3 linked regions of the Drosophila melanogaster genome follow. The gene in region 1 interacts genetically with each later gene. Each region holds a gene or a part of one and is shown in the gene's direction. Other genes may lie near its edges.

Region 1 (4,328 bases):
TCAAAGTTGGACCAACACGTTTGGCGCCAAAGAAATTTCGACTTATAACTAAGATTTAGAGGATTATCTAGGCTTGAAGTAATCCAACACATTTGGCCGTAATCATATAGTATAATATATACATTAAATGAATTTATACTAATTTTGAAACTATTTTCACCTTGCAGCTAGCAAAAGATCTTCTGCACCCTCTGCCCGCCGAGGAGAAGCGCAAGCACAAGCTGAAGCGCCTGGTCCAGCACCCCAACTCGTACTTCATGGACGTGAAGTGCCCCGGCTGCTACAGGATCACCACCGTCTTCAGCCACGCCCAAGGCGTCGTGGTCTGCGCTGGATGCGCTACCATTTTGTGCCAGCCGACTGGAGGACGCGCCAAGCTGACAGAAGGTATGCTCCAAATGCTCACTGTCCAATGTTCCTTCGCAATTAACCCAAACGATGTCTTTCTTTCAGGCTGCTCCTTCCGCAGGAAGCCACAGTAAAATGGGACTCGCGATGAACCACAAATTATTAATTTTTTAATAAAAACTCTAAAACGTAAAGAAACCACAGAACCCATACGAGAGAAAGCTTGTAATTCAATTGCTGCGGTCCTTTGGTTCATTGTGCTTTGTGAATTAAAGAATTAACGATGTTGTGGTCGGCTAAGTGAAAAAAAAAACAGTTCTTGTCGTATTTGTTTATAGAAAGTGGATAATTGCCAACAGGATAGATAGTGGAGCTCAATCGCTGGGGTTCCCCGATAAGAAACCGCCCATAATGGAAGCTCTTGTGTGTGCAAATACCCTTGTGCGGCAAAACTTCAGGAATTTTTCACTAGTTATGCTTAGATCTAACCATTGATTAACTTCACAACAATAAAGAATGTTTCATAGGCTCTAAATCGAGATTTTGTGAGGCTTCTAATGATTGGGCATTCAGCATTTTTTCAAGAATTTTGTAACCGACTCAAAAAATCTTTAGAATGGTTGGTTATTCGGATCGCATATACTTAGCTTGTTTGTCTTATTTTTATTTGGATGAGCGCCAAAATTTTGCTGCGTCAGTCTGGAAAAAATTGAATCAAATGTGTATAGTTTTATAGAAGTTGGGAAGCGGAATTTATTTATTTATTTAAATATTTATAATTAAAAAAATGAAAATAGTCACGTTGTTTAACTAGTCAGTATTCGAACCAACAAATGTAAAATGTATACTGGTTTGTGTCTAAGCTAAGCTTGTCATATTAACGGAGCTGCCAGATGTTAGGAAGTGGGGATGCCATACATTATTCTAAATTTGCGCGCAATTTTAGAAGCTTATCGTCGTCAGAATTACAAAAACAAATTGAATATGAAAATGGGTTATTGCTACTTCATTATTATTGTCACGATATATGATAATTTATACAAAATGTGATAAATCCCAAATTGTTAAATAATGCTTTGGCTTGCTTTATACAAAACCACTAGATAATTAAAATATAGGTGGCCTAAATTGTTGCATGTTGTTTTATAATTAATCAGCAATTTGATTTGGTTGTGATCGACCAAATCAGTGTGTATAATTGTAGTTAAAATGTAAAGTTCGTAATGGATTATTGAATCGCATTTCAAATTTCTTTAAATGCGCCCGGGTCAATGACCTTTTGAGGTGACCATAAATTGAAACTTATTTGTGCGACGGCAACCCTGTTCTGGGACTCGACATGATATCGATACGTTAACAACAAAGAGTCTGGACGCCATCATTCTTCCTCTTTCTCCTGAATTCGCAGACAGCGTGGCGTCAGGCATTTCAAACGGTAAAAAGAACCTGGCGATAAGGAAAGATTTAAAAGGCAAAAATCGAGTGATTTGTGTGATTTAACTTAAGAATAATGCTTAATGCACGTGACGTGTGTCCTGAGGGCAACGACGACCAGCAGTTGGACCACAATTTTAAGCAGATGGAGGAGCATTTGGCCTTAATGGTGGAAGGCAATGAAAACGAAGATCCGAGGAAAGCCACTTGTGAGTACGAGGATACGAACGAAGATGGTGCAACCTGCACATCGGGCGTTTTATCCGAAATCCAGGAGAACTTCGGTAGACTCCGGTTGTGTGACGTTACTGCACCACTCCTCGAATTCCACGGTTTGGATTGCTTGCAACAGATTCAAAAGCGCTCGCGCCATTTTGCATTCGACGGTTCTCCGGCCAAGAAGTCGCGATCCGGAGGCGTGTTGGTCACCGGGCCAAAGCAGAAGCAACTGCAGAAGGAAAATGTGTGGAACCGGAAGAGTAAAGGCTCTGCGTCCGCGGATAATATTGAGAAACTGCCCATAACTATTGAGAAACTGCATATGATTGGTCTGCACGGCGATTGGTGAGTCTTCTGGAGTATATCCCAAATATATCACATAATAAAAAGCTCCTTATCTAAACAATAGCTTAGAGCACAACGCCGTGCTGCGTTTGATGAATCTGTTCAGATCCCTGCATGATCACCTGACCGCCGATTTGGGCTTCTCGCGCCAAAACTCAATGCCCTCGGACTATCTGTTCGATATGCCGGTGAAGAGCACGATGCCTAAGAGCTTGAATGTGCGCTACCAACTGCAGGTGCTGTGCACCAAAGTAGAGCGCTTCCTTGTCCAGCAGCGCCGCACCTTGGAGGCGAATCGCCACTTCGATTTCGAGAAATACGACGAGTGTGACAAGTTGCTTAAGGGTTTCGCATCCTATTTGGACAACTTCAAACTGCTTTTAAAGCCCAAAATGCGCAATCGAAACGGAAACTCGGGGAGCAATGCGGACAAGTGTAAGCTGTAGATTTGCAAGCAACCATTCAGCTATTCCTGCAACGATTTTATTATTTACAGTCCATACTCAGCGCATGGAGAGATTGCTAATTGGTCTGCGCGATTGGATCAAGGCTGCGCATCTCAGTGTGCACGTATTTAACTGGGAAATGGATCTGGAGCACCGCTACTCCGGGGCCATGACCGAAAGCCACAAGTCGTTGAACGAGCGGGCCATCCTTTTGTCCGGTGCCGAGCTAAGGGCGGCCGAAGCGCGTGGAATCAGTGCGGAGGATCTGTTCATCGCCCAGAGATACAAACTGGGAGGTCCGATCTATTGCGTTCTGGAGCAGCATGAGTTCCTCTCCGCTCTGATCGCCAATCCAGAGACCTATTTCCCGCCCAGTGTTGTCGCCATTTGCGGGCCACAGAAGCTTGGCGCAGTGAGCATGGAGCAGCCGTCAGCGTCGGAGGAGGAGTTTGAGGAGACCGAGGAAGTGCCATCATCGCCACCTCGTCACACCGGACGTGTACCTCGCTTCAGAAGCTAAACTAATGCTGTGCACATCGATAAAAGAATGACAGCAAATATGCAATTTAAAAAAGCTACTCTTCTCATGGGAAGCAATAATTTCGTAAAGTAAACATATCTATAGTGTAAGATATATTTGTCCAATAGTGCGGACTCCATATTTGTATTCGTGAATAAGCTTATATAAGCTTTTTAAAAATATTTATCAAATCGATACAAACAAAATCAAAATGAAAACGATTTATTACCCCTGTTTTGAGATTGATAACAAATTTATATAAGTTTAACTGTGTTTACATTTATTTGGCAAAACTACAAATGTGTTTGCTTTTCACTTTTATAAATCTGTATTTTACTTAAACTTTAGAAATAAGAAATCCTTTAGTGCCTGAATTTATTTTGCAACTACGTTTTATTTGTATGAGGAACTTACCAGTTTTTCTTATTTGCTTTGCATTTGTATTTTGAAAGTCAAATAAATATTTACGATTTGTGTTTGGACTAATTAGGGTGTTTGTACTAAGGTCTTAGACTACAAAGAGCTGTTCGAGCGGCAGTTTGCCAAAGATCCTGTCCACCACCGACTTGGCTATCAGTCCGAAGGCCTCGCCAATGCCCGGTTTCAGTTCATTGAAGATGTCCTTCCAGTTCTCATTGATAAGCGCGTGCATGTTCTCGCTGAGATCTTTCTGGCCGTTGAACAGATTTTCCAGCTGGTAGGTCACATGGGATGGATCCAGCTCAACCTTTATGTTCATCACCTCGGCGTAGGTTTGATGATCGCCCTTGGAGACGCGCTTCAATTTGATCTGTGCACGTACCTTTGTTCTAGCTGCGAATTCCAGAAACACATTAAAAATTTTAGATTTCAAAGCTGTGGGAGGCAAATCTTACTGAGGCGTATGTCAGCAATGCCATTTCCGGTGATGGGCAGAATGAGTATTCTTCCGTCCACCGAGTAGGGTCCTCTGACTCCTATTTCTGGAACTTCCATGACCAGCTCGATGGAGCGGCTGAGATCCCTTGTGAATCCGC
Region 2 (7,834 bases), on another chromosome or scaffold:
TTTCCCGTACATACACTTTTCATATCAAAATGATCAGGCCTATTTAATCGTATAAGTGAGTGCAGTGACCAGAGTGAAACATTAATTGCTTGCAAATAAGTATGTCGTATGCAAATAAAATATTTTTCAAATTCAATTTGATGTCGCCACCCCTATAATTTCCCCCCTTTTCGGTTGCATTGGTGTCACGGTACCAGTATAATTCTCGTTTCAATCTTCCTTTCGAGAAACAGATGCAAGACTTTGGAAAAGGGACGGGCGAAAAGAGAGGTTTGTTGGTGTTATTTGTTCTGTTCGCGATTTTCGCATTCGTATTTATCGGCTACTTCGTGGGAAGAAGAAGCAAAGACGGACGTTGCGTTTCAAAAAGAGCGTTACAATATGAAGAATTCAATCGAAGAGATCGGTGAAAACCAATGGACGAAATACAAGCCTGCATAAACAGTTGCGGTGAAAATATTAGTATTCAAAATCCCAGTATCCCAGAATGAAAAAATTCAAAACTAAATGAGTTATATCTAACCTACAATTGTACCAATTCTATCAACGATTTTAAAAATACATTTTTCAGGTCTTTTAGTCCAACAATTCGGTCTTAAAAATTATATTTAAAGACCCTCATTTCCAATTACTAAAGATTCGATTGCGATAGTTCCTATTATTGTGACCGCGAATGTGCTCCTGTGTATCCTCAGACGGATGTCTTTAGTGGGAAATCACCTTGCGCCAGCTGCAACTGCAACTGCATCGCATGTACAGCCCTGCACCGATGCACTATATCTGCCATATAGTGCTTAGGGGTGGAATAGTGCAGCTGACATATGTATGTAGGAATCTACCTGCGACATAATGCCGCTCGGTGGTTCTTACCTGCTCCTTGAGGATCTCGGATAACTGCCTTCTGTTGCTGTCGTAATTCCTGCGTAGCCCAGTGATCCTCGTTTCGGACAGCTGCAAAAATCATGAAATCGTCTGCACCGCGAGGTAAACAGCAAGGTAAATCCACATACACACACACAAATGAGTAATGATCTCGCACAGGAAAAAATTCAATGATCGATTTGGATCCAAGAGATTGAAGCGTTATTTGAAGATTCGAGTTTGGGAGCATTTATTTAAATTCTAGGATTTACTAGAACTATGTTTGTACATCTGAAATGTCCATCTGTGGTCATATACTTAGGGATATAAGAGATCTTAATCTGGAGTATTAAGAAGACAAATTTCTTAATTTTAAATTTGTATGTATATTAGGATATTAAAATGTTTTATGTTTTATGTTTTTTTATAATAATAGTAGTTTGCAAAGCAACTACTCAAAAACTGCACATCATCATTGAATTTGGTTTAAAAATTTCGTAACTATGGGAAAACAAATAATTTCAACCAAACTTGTAAAATATTACCTTATCAGAGCAGGAGAAAACCTTAAGTATCCAAGCCAAGAAACCACAAAAGATATTTTCGAGTTATAGAGATGGTTATACGGGTGTTTCTGCCTTCGATATCCGTACCCGTACTCAATAAAACAAAATCGAAGTTCAAGCTGACTGTACTTTCATTAATTTGATCTTAAAACTGTGGATTTTATCAGTTTACTAACCCCCTCTAATTAACTTATCGCCACGATTTATTGGTGCGCAGATTACTACGTAAAATCGTAGAAGAAAAGTTTAAGGGTTGCTGTGGGTATAGTGTTCATACAGCTACGTATTTCGAATTCAGTTGGAATCGGAATTTCAGCGTTCAGCGCAATTTTTTCAAAAATAACGATGCTCTTGTTCTTTCTCTCTCTCCCAACCATTTGGATTTCAAAAAATAACGACGCTCTCTGGTCTCCCACTTCTCTTTCCATTCCGACCGCATTGAGCTAAATTCCTGCAACGGGTGTGAGCGAGGCAGAGAAGGATCGGTGCAGTGAGAGCGAGCAAGAGGGTGCGAAAGAGAGCCGTTGTATTTCGCCGTTCTCTTCGCTTCGTGCTTCTTCCGACCGCGTGGATGGTCACATTTGAAATTCAAACTGCGGAGAAGACGGTCGCGTTCGTTTCGTTTCGCGAGTTCAGTGAGCAGCGTCCGATTTGTTTTAAAATCGCCGCATTTCGTCAGTACCCGCATTGCAAATGGCCAAACTACCGAAGTAGTAGTAGCCCTGAGTTTAAACGAGAGTTTAAATCGAATTTAATCGGAGACTAAACGGCGCGTCGCTAAATGTCAAAACAATTAACAGCCAAGTACAGCCAGGCTAAAGCGGAGTAACAAAATTAGTAAGAAGAAGCATTAGCAGAGAATAAGACGAAGAAAACGTAGCGAGAGCAAGAACTGTGATAAAGTTAAGTGAAGTGGTAAACACAAGCAAGCATGGATAACAGTAGCGGTCAAAACAGCAGAACGGCTTCGTCAGCGTCCACAAGCAAAATAGTCAACTATTCGTCACCAGTCTCGCCAGGAGTCGCAGCCGCCACCTCCTCATCCTCATCATCCAGCAGCAGCGGCATGAGTAGCAGCCAGGAGGACACCGTACTGGGATTATTTACGCCCAAAAAGGAGTTCCCCAATGCCAAGATGCTGCAGACCATCAGGGAGAAGCTAATGACGCCCGGCGGAGCCTGTGACCTTCTGGCCCTGGGCATCGCAGCGGAACCCACAGACCAGCAGCCCGTCAAGCTCATCCAACAGCGTTATCTGATCAGCGCACAGCCTAGTCACATATCGGCCGCCGTGGCTGCCAAGACTCCCGCCTCGTATCGCCACTTGGTCGATCTAACCGCCTCCAATCTGCGCTGCGTGGACATCTTCACCGGGGAGCAGTTCCTCTGCCGTATTGTAAACGAACCGTTGCATAAGGTGCAACGAGCCTACTTTCAGCTGCAGCAGCACGACGAGGAGCTACGCCGGAGCACCATCTATGGCCATCCACTGATCCGACCCGTGCACGATATCATACCGCTTACCAAGGATCGCACCTACATCCTCATTGCGCCCGTGCCCCAGGAGAGGGACTCCACGGGTGGGGTGACCGGGGTGTACGAGAACCTGCACACCTACATCCGCCACGCGAAGCGACTGTGCGAGACGGAGGCGAGGGCCATATTCCACCAGATCTGTCAGACTGTTCAGGTGTGCCACCGCAACGGGATTATCCTCAGGGACCTCAAGCTCAAGCGGTTCTACTTCATCGACGAGGCCAGGTGAGTTGCGTGTCCAGGTGACACCTTCGAAAAACCCATATACACCAATATACGCCACATATGCCTGACTTATACCAACTCAATTGCATATGGCTGGCTAGTCGGTTTATTTTGCAATTCGATGGAAACTCGTTATGAGCGAGAGATCTTGTTTGTGGTCGTGTGTTGGTGGTGCCACAATTGTTGCTCTTGTTATTGGCCCATGTTGTTGTAGTTGCTGCTGCTGCTGCTGTTGTTGCTTTTGTTTTTGTTGCTGGCGCCGTCGTTGTGGGTAACATTGAACATTTAACAAGTGTTGCAATCGAATCACCAATAGGCCAACAACAACAATTATACTGACAAACCGAATGAACGCAAGGCGTACGTATGTACAGCACAGGGTATAATGGTAGTTTCAAACTAATTTTATAAGTAAAAATATATTCCTACTATGCGAAGCATTGCAAAAATGAATGGGAATAAGATCAAAAATGTTAAATAATTTCAAAGATAAGTTTTTGAAATACACCTATTATTAAACTATTAATTAACATGGTGTATTAGCTTTGTAGCTAAAGAATTATTATTTATGTAATATCATTGAATTGCCATTCAGTGAGCAAGCATATGCCTTATTTTGCAGACCCCGACTGTATCTCTGTGTACATACTCGTACACAAGGGCCCAATGTGCCACACTGATGGCCAAAATGTTGGCTCACTCGTTTTTTCATTACACATTTCGGAAGCTAGAAATTGCCACATTTCAAGAATTGTTCAACATAGCATTTGCAATATGGTTTTGGGGTGGGGATCTGTGGGCCACGTACTCGGCGTTCGCTTGATTTGTCGATTTCCCGTGTGTGAGTTTACAGTGGATGATGAAATATTGACCCCACCTTCATCGAAAATGTATTTTCGCATATGTTAATTAACACAACTGTATCGAAAACGCGCTGTCTCCCGTTCTTATTATCTTCGAAATTGTACTGACATCAGCATGGAACGACTTGAACATTTGGTCGATTTCGTATGACTCTGCAATTAGCGCAATATCTGCTGATTTTTTCGTCATTTCGTCGTTCTGTGCCAAGTGCAAAACGGCGGAAGGAAGAAACCAACCCATAGATCTCTATCTATACTATACTTCTCTCACCTTGGCGAGAAATAAACAACAAGTGTTCAATACGACTCAAATGCGCTGCGATTACTGGCGCTCACTTCCATTCCCATTTCCATTCGAATAATACATCGCTATATAGATAAGTGCTCGCTGGGTGTACATACATACTATATGGGCTATGGGCGTGGCCATATCCATATCTACATATGTCCAACGGGGCGGCCACACACACGCACAACCAAATAACGAGCCGAATTTTTAAGGTCACAGTGCGGTGAATGTCCCTGACTCTGATCTTCTGTATTTGAACGCATTTATGTACATGCATATATGCCAGTGCCTCCCATATACAAATGCGTATGCTTATGCATGTAAAAATCTCTGGTTCATACTTTTATTTTGTCTACTCTTTTGCCGTACGTAAATACTTCCAAGGTGTTTGAGCATTTATGCGGCGCCGGTTTTCCGTATTTCGTTTCGATTCCGATTTTATTTTAACCTCTGTCGCGGGTTAATGTGTGCCAAACGTATAGAGCGAGAGAGAGAGAGAGAGGGAAAGAAGAGATCCACAAGACGCTCTTCAAAGCTCGGTTATGTCGCGCATCGAGGTCAGCAGCTGTAACTATTCTCCTCATCACATCTCCACCTGCCTTCCGTGCACTCAAAAATATAAATATTGGTTCACATAAAACCTTGATCTTAAAAGTATAATTATATATGCTTGCCTTGATCTTAAATATAAGTTTATAATGTTTCTGTATCGAATGGGGTAACTAGACGATAGAGGACACAAAAATCAAATGAAACCCGAAAACAAATGTATAGAAACATGCTCTTAATTAAGAACCGTGTTCTTTGAATATATTATTTAAATGCGCTATCTCTTTTCCCTCTTATTGATTGCCCACCTGTTGCTATCAAGTTGAAGGTAATTTGTTTCTTTCAGTGTACACTGTGATTTGTGCCGAGGAGAGGCGCGTTTTCAAAGCTTGTTTTTGTTCAGGGTCAGCTCGAGGTTTTTTTGGCCTGCTTTGTGTTTGGCTCTTTGGATGTTTGGATACCAGACCGCGGCGACCGTGTGTTTGTATATCGCTCCGTTCGCTATCGGCGGAATACCCAATGTTGGTAGTGGTGCTCGGGTCCCAGCAGAAGCGCCGTTGCAGCAACAAGTTGCGATACGTCACTCCACCTCACCTTACTACTCACGCAGCTCACACAGCGGACTCTCTTTGGATCTATGCGCTGTGCTCGCTGGCGTTTTCGTTACTTTTTTGCTTTTTGCATTCGAATGTGGGCCAATGTCAATGGAGTGGAGTGGCCCAATGGAGGGGGAGTGGAGTGGAGTGCAGGGGCGGAGGCGGCGGCGGCGGCGGCACTCGCTCATGGGTGTCGGGGGTCGCAAGCTGCGCTTTCGTCACCAATCCAAGTCAACTCAGCTCAGCTCACAATGTGCTCTCTCGGCCAATTTGCCTTTTGACTTGTCAATACGCCAACGCCAAAGACAACTACAACTGAAACTGAAGCTCCGTGGCCGATCGATTCAAGTCTCTTCGATATTGCGCTAGCTAATGGCCCCACAAAATCGGGGGTTATGCAAGTCCCAGGGATTGCACATGATGTAGAGCTCGACGATGGGTCTGATGAACGGGTACAGTTGCGATCAGAATAGTGGCAGTGCCAACTCAAGTTGCAGTCATATCTACTCTTCTTTGGCAACAATAGTTCTCAACATATTAATAGAAACGGGTAAAAAAAAGACTGTTAGTTTTATTTCTAAGAAGCATAAACATATATTTTGTACCCTATTTTGGCGGATTATTTATTCGATTTTGTCATTTGCTAATTACAGAACGAAACTGCAGTATGAATCACTGGAAGGCTCAATGATCCTCGACGGCGAGGACGATACTCTGAGCGACAAGATCGGTTGCCCACTGTACACCGCTCCAGAACTGCTGTGCCCCCAGCAAACGTACAAGGGCAAACCGGCGGACATGTGGTCGCTGGGCGTGATCCTGTACACCATGTTGGTGGGTCAGTACCCGTTCTACGAGAAGGCCAACTGCAACCTCATCACCGTCATACGCCACGGGAATGTCCAGATACCCCTGACGCTGTCTAAGTCGGTGCGATGGCTGTTGCTTTCGCTGCTGCGGAAGGATTACACGGAACGAATGACCGCCAGCCACATCTTCCTTACCCCGTGGCTGCGAGAGCAGCGCCCCTTCCACATGTACCTGCCAGTCGACGTGGAGGTGGCCGAGGACTGGAGCGATGCGGAGGAGGACGAAGGCACTGCCGCCGATGCGATGGATGATGACGAGGAAGGACTCTGTCCCTTGGGTGACAAGCACGAGTACGAGGACATTGGCGTGGAGCCATTGGACTACACGCGCTCCACGCTCCAAATGGCTCAGAATGCCAATGGGCTGTCCACGGAACCCGAACCCGATACGGATGTGGACATGGGCTGATTGGAGCTCGTGGAGTCACCCACGGGTTGCATTCTGGGACACGCTGGCGCGTTGGCTGCATCCGGCTGAATGCCGACTGATTAGCCGCCGGGACTGGGCATATCGGATGATATGACACTGTGGACATCCTGGCCTTCCGGGTCGCGCCGACTCCGACTGCGTTCCACGTCGTCTTCCTGCAGGTGGTACTGCCAACAAAGACTTAAAGCTTAGACACACAAGAACTCACTGCCTTCCAATCGCGCTGCAGCCCCGATTCGATTCGTTCAAGAATCACGCCGCTCCGCAGCCTCCTCTCTGCAACCGATTCTTCCTAAAACCTACCTATGTACAATACATTTAACATTTTAATTTTTTTGCAAACTGTTGATCTTATCAAAGGACAGTCGCCCTGATTTGCTTTTGGGCTTTAAAACACATTAGTTTCCATGTTAAAAAATGCAACGAATGCAAATTGTTATTTATTATTTAATACTTCTGTATTACGCTTTGTGTACTCTTAAAATCTTGTAAGTGAAAATTGCAAAAAAGAACATAATACATTGAAATTTGATCTCACCAAGAATAATTCGAATTTGTTTCTTTAGGGCTCTGGGGTAAAAAACGCTGTTTTTATTTATTGACACAAGATTGTAAATATTTATAAATGTGTAATTAGTCAACCAGACTATGAGCTTAACATGAAGATTCTAGATTCTCAAGAAGCGGAAGGCTACAAAAGATGAAAACAATGAGTCAGGGGAAAATACGATTTTTTGGTTCTAGATGCGTCATATTGTGTACTAGTAAAATTCAACATTTGATTAAGATCAGATAATGTTTGGTCAAAAATATGAAAACAAAACTGTCCAATCTATTTTCTTCATGAAGGAGATTAATGAATAGTTCACGTCACAAAATCGAGAATTCTCTCGAGTGTCGAAAGTCAACAAATTAGTTATTGTTGTTGCTGAGATTCCCATTACCGAGCAGCAGATTCCCAACCTGATAATGCAACCCAGTGACTGGAAGTTATCAGGTGGGCGAACGTGACTTTGGCTACGGAAATATTTGCGACTTTGCTCCACAATA
Region 3 (4,514 bases), on another chromosome or scaffold:
TCCTAATGACGTAGGACCAAATACATTAGAATAAAAAGATGCGTGACGGCCATACATTGACCATACAAACGAGAAATTGTATATGTGTGCGTACTTGTGCTAGAAGACGATTTTCGGCCCGAAATAAATTTTCATTCAAGAAAATTTACATACATATTCTACATATTTGGAGTTTTTGGCAATTTTTTTGCAAAATTTCAACAGGGCACTGTGAGCAATACTTTTTAAAGCATTAACATTAATTTCATCAATATTTCAACTTATAAATAAAGTTGCTATCTAGAACTATAATTATTAGTTTTGTAATTTAAAACATAAATTTAACAAAATGAGAAAATACATATTTAAAAATATATTTTGTAAAAATAATACAAACATACATAGTTAAAAGTTAATATTTATAAAATAAATAAAAATATGCGACCTTTCTATTGTAAAATGTGCACAGATGCACTTGTCGGTTGTCACTGGATGCGTAAAAACAGCTGATGGCTGTAGAGTTCTCCGCCCTCTTGCTCCTAAACAAAAATTAAGAGCAGAATACTTTATATCCACCTTCTACTTCCTGAATTCTAGACATTTCTTACTGAGAGACAGGCGGCCCAAGAGATCTTAATCTTAATTGCTTGTACCTTTTGAAAGAATCTAGTATAACTTTTACTGGACGAATTCTAGACTATTAAAAATGTGATGATATATCAACACATTTATTAAAAGTGCGATCGTGACAGTTTTATGCGGCTTGTGAGCGCTAGAGTGGGCTTGGCAAAATGGGTTAACAAACTTGCGCTGCATCTTTGTCTCTAAAATCTGTATGCTTAATCTTAACCTTCTACCTTTAATAGTTCCTGAGATCTCGGCGTTCATACGGACAGAAGGACACAGCCAGATCGACTCGGCTATTGATGCTGATCATGAATATATACATATAGTGACGTATTCGGGTGGTCCAAACCGGCCACTTCAATTAAAACAGTATTGCACTTAATTGATTTTCCATAATGTATCCCAGCTGCGCAGCATCCGTTTCTAATAAAGAATTCTTTGGCAGCGGCACTCAGCCGTTCTTGTAAACATCCTAAAACCTGACATAAGCCGATTTGACTGCTCTCTTTGAACCTTCTCCTTATCTTAAGAACCCAAGAGCGAGGCTCTCCCGAGATACAAATATTGTTCAAATAATGAGGGTTCTCTCAATTCAATTTGCATTTGATTTTTACTCTTAAAAAAACTAAAACGTTAAAACTATTTCTCCGATCATTTTTTATTTCTTAGCGTTGTCCTTAGTCAACTGACGGGGCATTTATTCGACTCAAATAAAAAATATAACAACTAATTTTACTATATATATGTATATATTTTACTGTATATCGGAAACGCTTCCTTCTGTCTTTTACATATGTACATTTCAACGAATCTAGTATACCCTTTTACTCTACGGTTAACGGGTATAATAAGTTCTTTCTAAATGATTATGCTTATCATTTTAACAACAACATTTTAACCAAAAACGGTGTGATGACCAAACCATTTTCATATTCAGCATGAATTTACCGATTCAGACAAATCGTTCATACATACAAACAATATTATTACTTTACCATTAAACAAACCATTTCCAAGAAAGAATTTTTCATAGACCTAAAGCACATCGACTTTGTGGGTGGATATACATACATATGTACAATTTTTCGACTCAACTGTTTACACTGTAGTTTTACGAAAGAGAATTTCGATTTAAAAAATTTTTAGTTTTCGATGGTCGACCATTTGATTTATAAATAAGCAGTATTATCTTTAATTAGGCTGCTTTTAACTGCAAGTGCAGTTTATTCATACGATTACAAAGCATGACGATAGATGATTATGCTATTAGGTTTGATTAAACCATTTTTATGAAATATAAATTATTATATTATAAATATAAATTAATTATAAATTTACAAACTCTTATTCCATTCCAGAATCGATAGTTCTGGAATGATACTAGTGCTCAGCAACGCCAAAACAGTCAATAATAGATATTTGAAGTGTCAGCGGAATCGACGTCTGACAAAACAACTGCTTCACTTCATTAGAATTGTGTGATATATTCCACAGACCAGATCATTGGAAGAGAAGTCAATCGTGCGTGAGAGAAGCCAGAAGAGAAGCCACCCGCGACATTCCGAAGTAACCATTTCTGTAGGGTCAGACGTACATACAAACAACATTCATATAAATTGCTCGTGCTGTTCATTGGTTACCGCCTTTAGTCGCTACCTCGCTCGCACACGCGCTCAACACCTACCCTTACCCGTCAAAAATACCGACCTTCTTCTTGCCACGCCCGTAAAGATGGCTCCTAAGAAGCATAGTGGGTTTATGATGTTCGTAAACGAGTGGAGAAACCGGAACGCCGAGGGCCGACGCATGACGCTGGCGCAGGCTGTTTCCCACTGCGGCACCATATGGGAGGTAAGTTTTGGTCGATGCTGCGGATCTACCCTGTAATAAATGAAGCCTTTTCAGAAAATGAACACCCAGCAGCGTGGTCCGTACAACTCAGGCGGCAAGGACGCAAATGTGGCGCAACGCGCCAAAAGGGAAAGTTCCAACGGCCACGGCCAGGTGGACAAGGCCCAAAGGGAGGCCACCGAGAGCTTGATGGACATGAAACGTACCATCGAGCGCCTCGTGCTAAACGCCAAGATGTCCCATGGTAAGTCACACATTTCGAAGACATTTGGATTCGACTAACTCCAATCGCTGCCGCAGATCTGGAGAATGCCAAGTTTGTCTTCGTTGCCTTCAACTACTTCACTAAAGCCTTGACCACCGACGTCTATGTGCCCGCCGAGTTTGCGGCATGCGAATATTCGTTGAAGGAGGGAATCCGATCCATCTACAGCACCATGATTGACCCCGGTCAGATCATTTTTGGGCAAGGTAGCGATGCCCTGCTTCACTCTTCAACCACTCACGACCTGCCGCTGCCGCCCAACGCGCTGGGGGAGAAGAACATGACCAAGCTGTACCGCAACATTGTTGACTACTTATCCAAATGCCAGGGAAAAGGCAAGACCCTAGTAGTCTTTACACCCGCCGAAAATATTACCATGGTGAAGTCATGCTTCCGCTATTTGGAGTGCGATGATGACTTCAGGGACGGGGGCGAAAAAATCCAGGTGTTTGATATCCAGTACTTGCTATTCATATTGAAGAAGGAGGTCATGAATGTCGCTGATTTGAATGACGAGAAAATCAACAAATTCGCGACGGATGCTTTTTTTAAGAAAGACTTTTTCGAGTTTACCGCAGGGATTGCGTGTCAGGTAAGATTCTGTTCCCAATTCTGATAACCCCTAGTTGACTTCCTTCCTGATTACTTTTGCAGTACCACGAGGATAATGATCGAACCAAGTACTGTACCCAGAGTATGGTGACTAGATGGGCGTATACCTTCACTGATTTTATGTGCGGAGACCTGGCCATAACCGTCCAACCCGGAAAGCACATACCTGCCCAAACAAAACCCAACTACCTTATCATAAGCTCGTACGCCTCCTCACTCGACCACGAGTCCTCCTTCGACTCTTTTTATTCGCTTCCCGGATCTGGGGTCAAGAAGGAAAGCCAACCCGAAGCTTGTTCGCTTTCTAGCAGTCGACTTTCCGTCGCATCAAGCTCCTACAAGCCCATAGACCACACTTCCTTTGCCGCAAATTTAAACGAAGTTTCTGAATTCCCCAGCCTCGGCATGCGTAATTCTAGTAAGCATCACGGTATCGCCGCTAGTGCTCAGCGGGAATGGAACGCTAGGAACTTACCGACGCACTCGCGTTTAATTCGGAAGGTTTCAGACAACGACTTCTCCGTAAACGGCGCTGATGGGAAACTTAAAAAATAAGCCACTTTGGTCTATCAATTGGACTAAGAAACAATGATTCCTTATAGATAATTTTCTTATCGCATTAAACTGTACAAATACTATTACTTGTATTTAAAAATAAATTCGTTCAAACGGACAGGGCCAGCATCAAGTATTTATTTATTTTAGTTCTGCTAAATAAATATTTTTAAGACCTAATATGTGGGCAGTAATGAAAGAAAGACATGATATTTTTGATGGCGACAAATTCTAATTAGCTAAGTGGGGCCAAGCTCAAAATAATCTATGTTTATGGTATTCCATGGAAATGCAGTTGTGCCATTAGAAACTGCTCCTATTAAAACCCCTGTTAAATATTGTGCATAAAATTGTTCAACGGGTCATTATAATACAAAGTGCAAAGGCCAAAAAGAGTCGAGTTCATATTCTTACACTTGTAGCTTTTTAAGTGGCTCGACTTGGAGAGGAGTTTTTAGAGTTGCGAGATACAGATGCAATGCTTTGCGGATCTTGCTGAAGCACGAGACGAGTAAAGGCTAAGCTGAGGAGAAGTGCCTGGCCTAGAAGCTCGCGCTGGTAGCGCTCTTGTTGTGAGAATTCGAGGCGTAGGTCAGCGGGAAAGTCGATCTGTTTGTGCAGCTTC

What was found. Genes that interact genetically often act in the same process or in processes that back each other up.
Region 2: of bam (region 1) and trbl, changing one suppresses a phenotype caused by changing the other (phenotypic suppression), as found in Drosophila melanogaster (one study listed by BioGRID).
Region 3: of bam (region 1) and mael, changing one suppresses a phenotype caused by changing the other (phenotypic suppression), as found in Drosophila melanogaster (one study listed by BioGRID).

What each region holds. Positions count from the first base shown.
Region 1 is NT_033777.3:25,242,507-25,246,834, reverse strand, and holds bam (bag of marbles), read left to right. Parts: upstream 1-1,725; 5' UTR 1,726-1,858; coding exon 1,859-2,346; intron 2,347-2,410; coding exon 2,411-2,781; intron 2,782-2,842; coding exon 2,843-3,312; 3' UTR 3,313-3,796; downstream 3,797-4,328. Other genes in the region: RpS27 (ribosomal protein S27), read left to right, coding at 168-387, 454-482; CG11854 (uncharacterized protein), read right to left, coding at 3,821-4,125, 4,188-4,327. UniProt on the Drosophila melanogaster protein: Regulatory component of a deubiquitinase complex consisting of bam and otu. The complex deubiquitinates K63-linked polyubiquitinated proteins, antagonizing the ubiquitination activity of Traf6 and regulating the IMD immune signaling pathway.
Region 2 is NT_037436.4:20,395,780-20,403,613, reverse strand, and holds trbl (tribbles), read left to right. Parts: upstream 1-2,004; 5' UTR 2,005-2,358; coding exon 2,359-3,188; intron 3,189-6,138; coding exon 6,139-6,763; 3' UTR 6,764-7,326; downstream 7,327-7,834. UniProt on the Drosophila melanogaster protein: Adapter protein that negatively regulates different signaling pathways to coordinate cell differentiation, proliferation, migration and growth.
Region 3 is NT_037436.4:22,722,229-22,726,742, forward strand, and holds mael (maelstrom), read left to right. Parts: upstream 1-2,004; 5' UTR 2,005-2,337; coding exon 2,338-2,457; intron 2,458-2,502; coding exon 2,503-2,701; intron 2,702-2,757; coding exon 2,758-3,314; intron 3,315-3,376; coding exon 3,377-3,889; 3' UTR 3,890-4,006; downstream 4,007-4,514. Other genes in the region: CG14450 (uncharacterized protein), read right to left, coding at 4,316-4,514. UniProt on the Drosophila melanogaster protein: Involved both in the piRNA and miRNA metabolic processes. As a component of the meiotic nuage, plays a central role during oogenesis by repressing transposable elements and preventing their mobilization, which is essential for the germline integrity.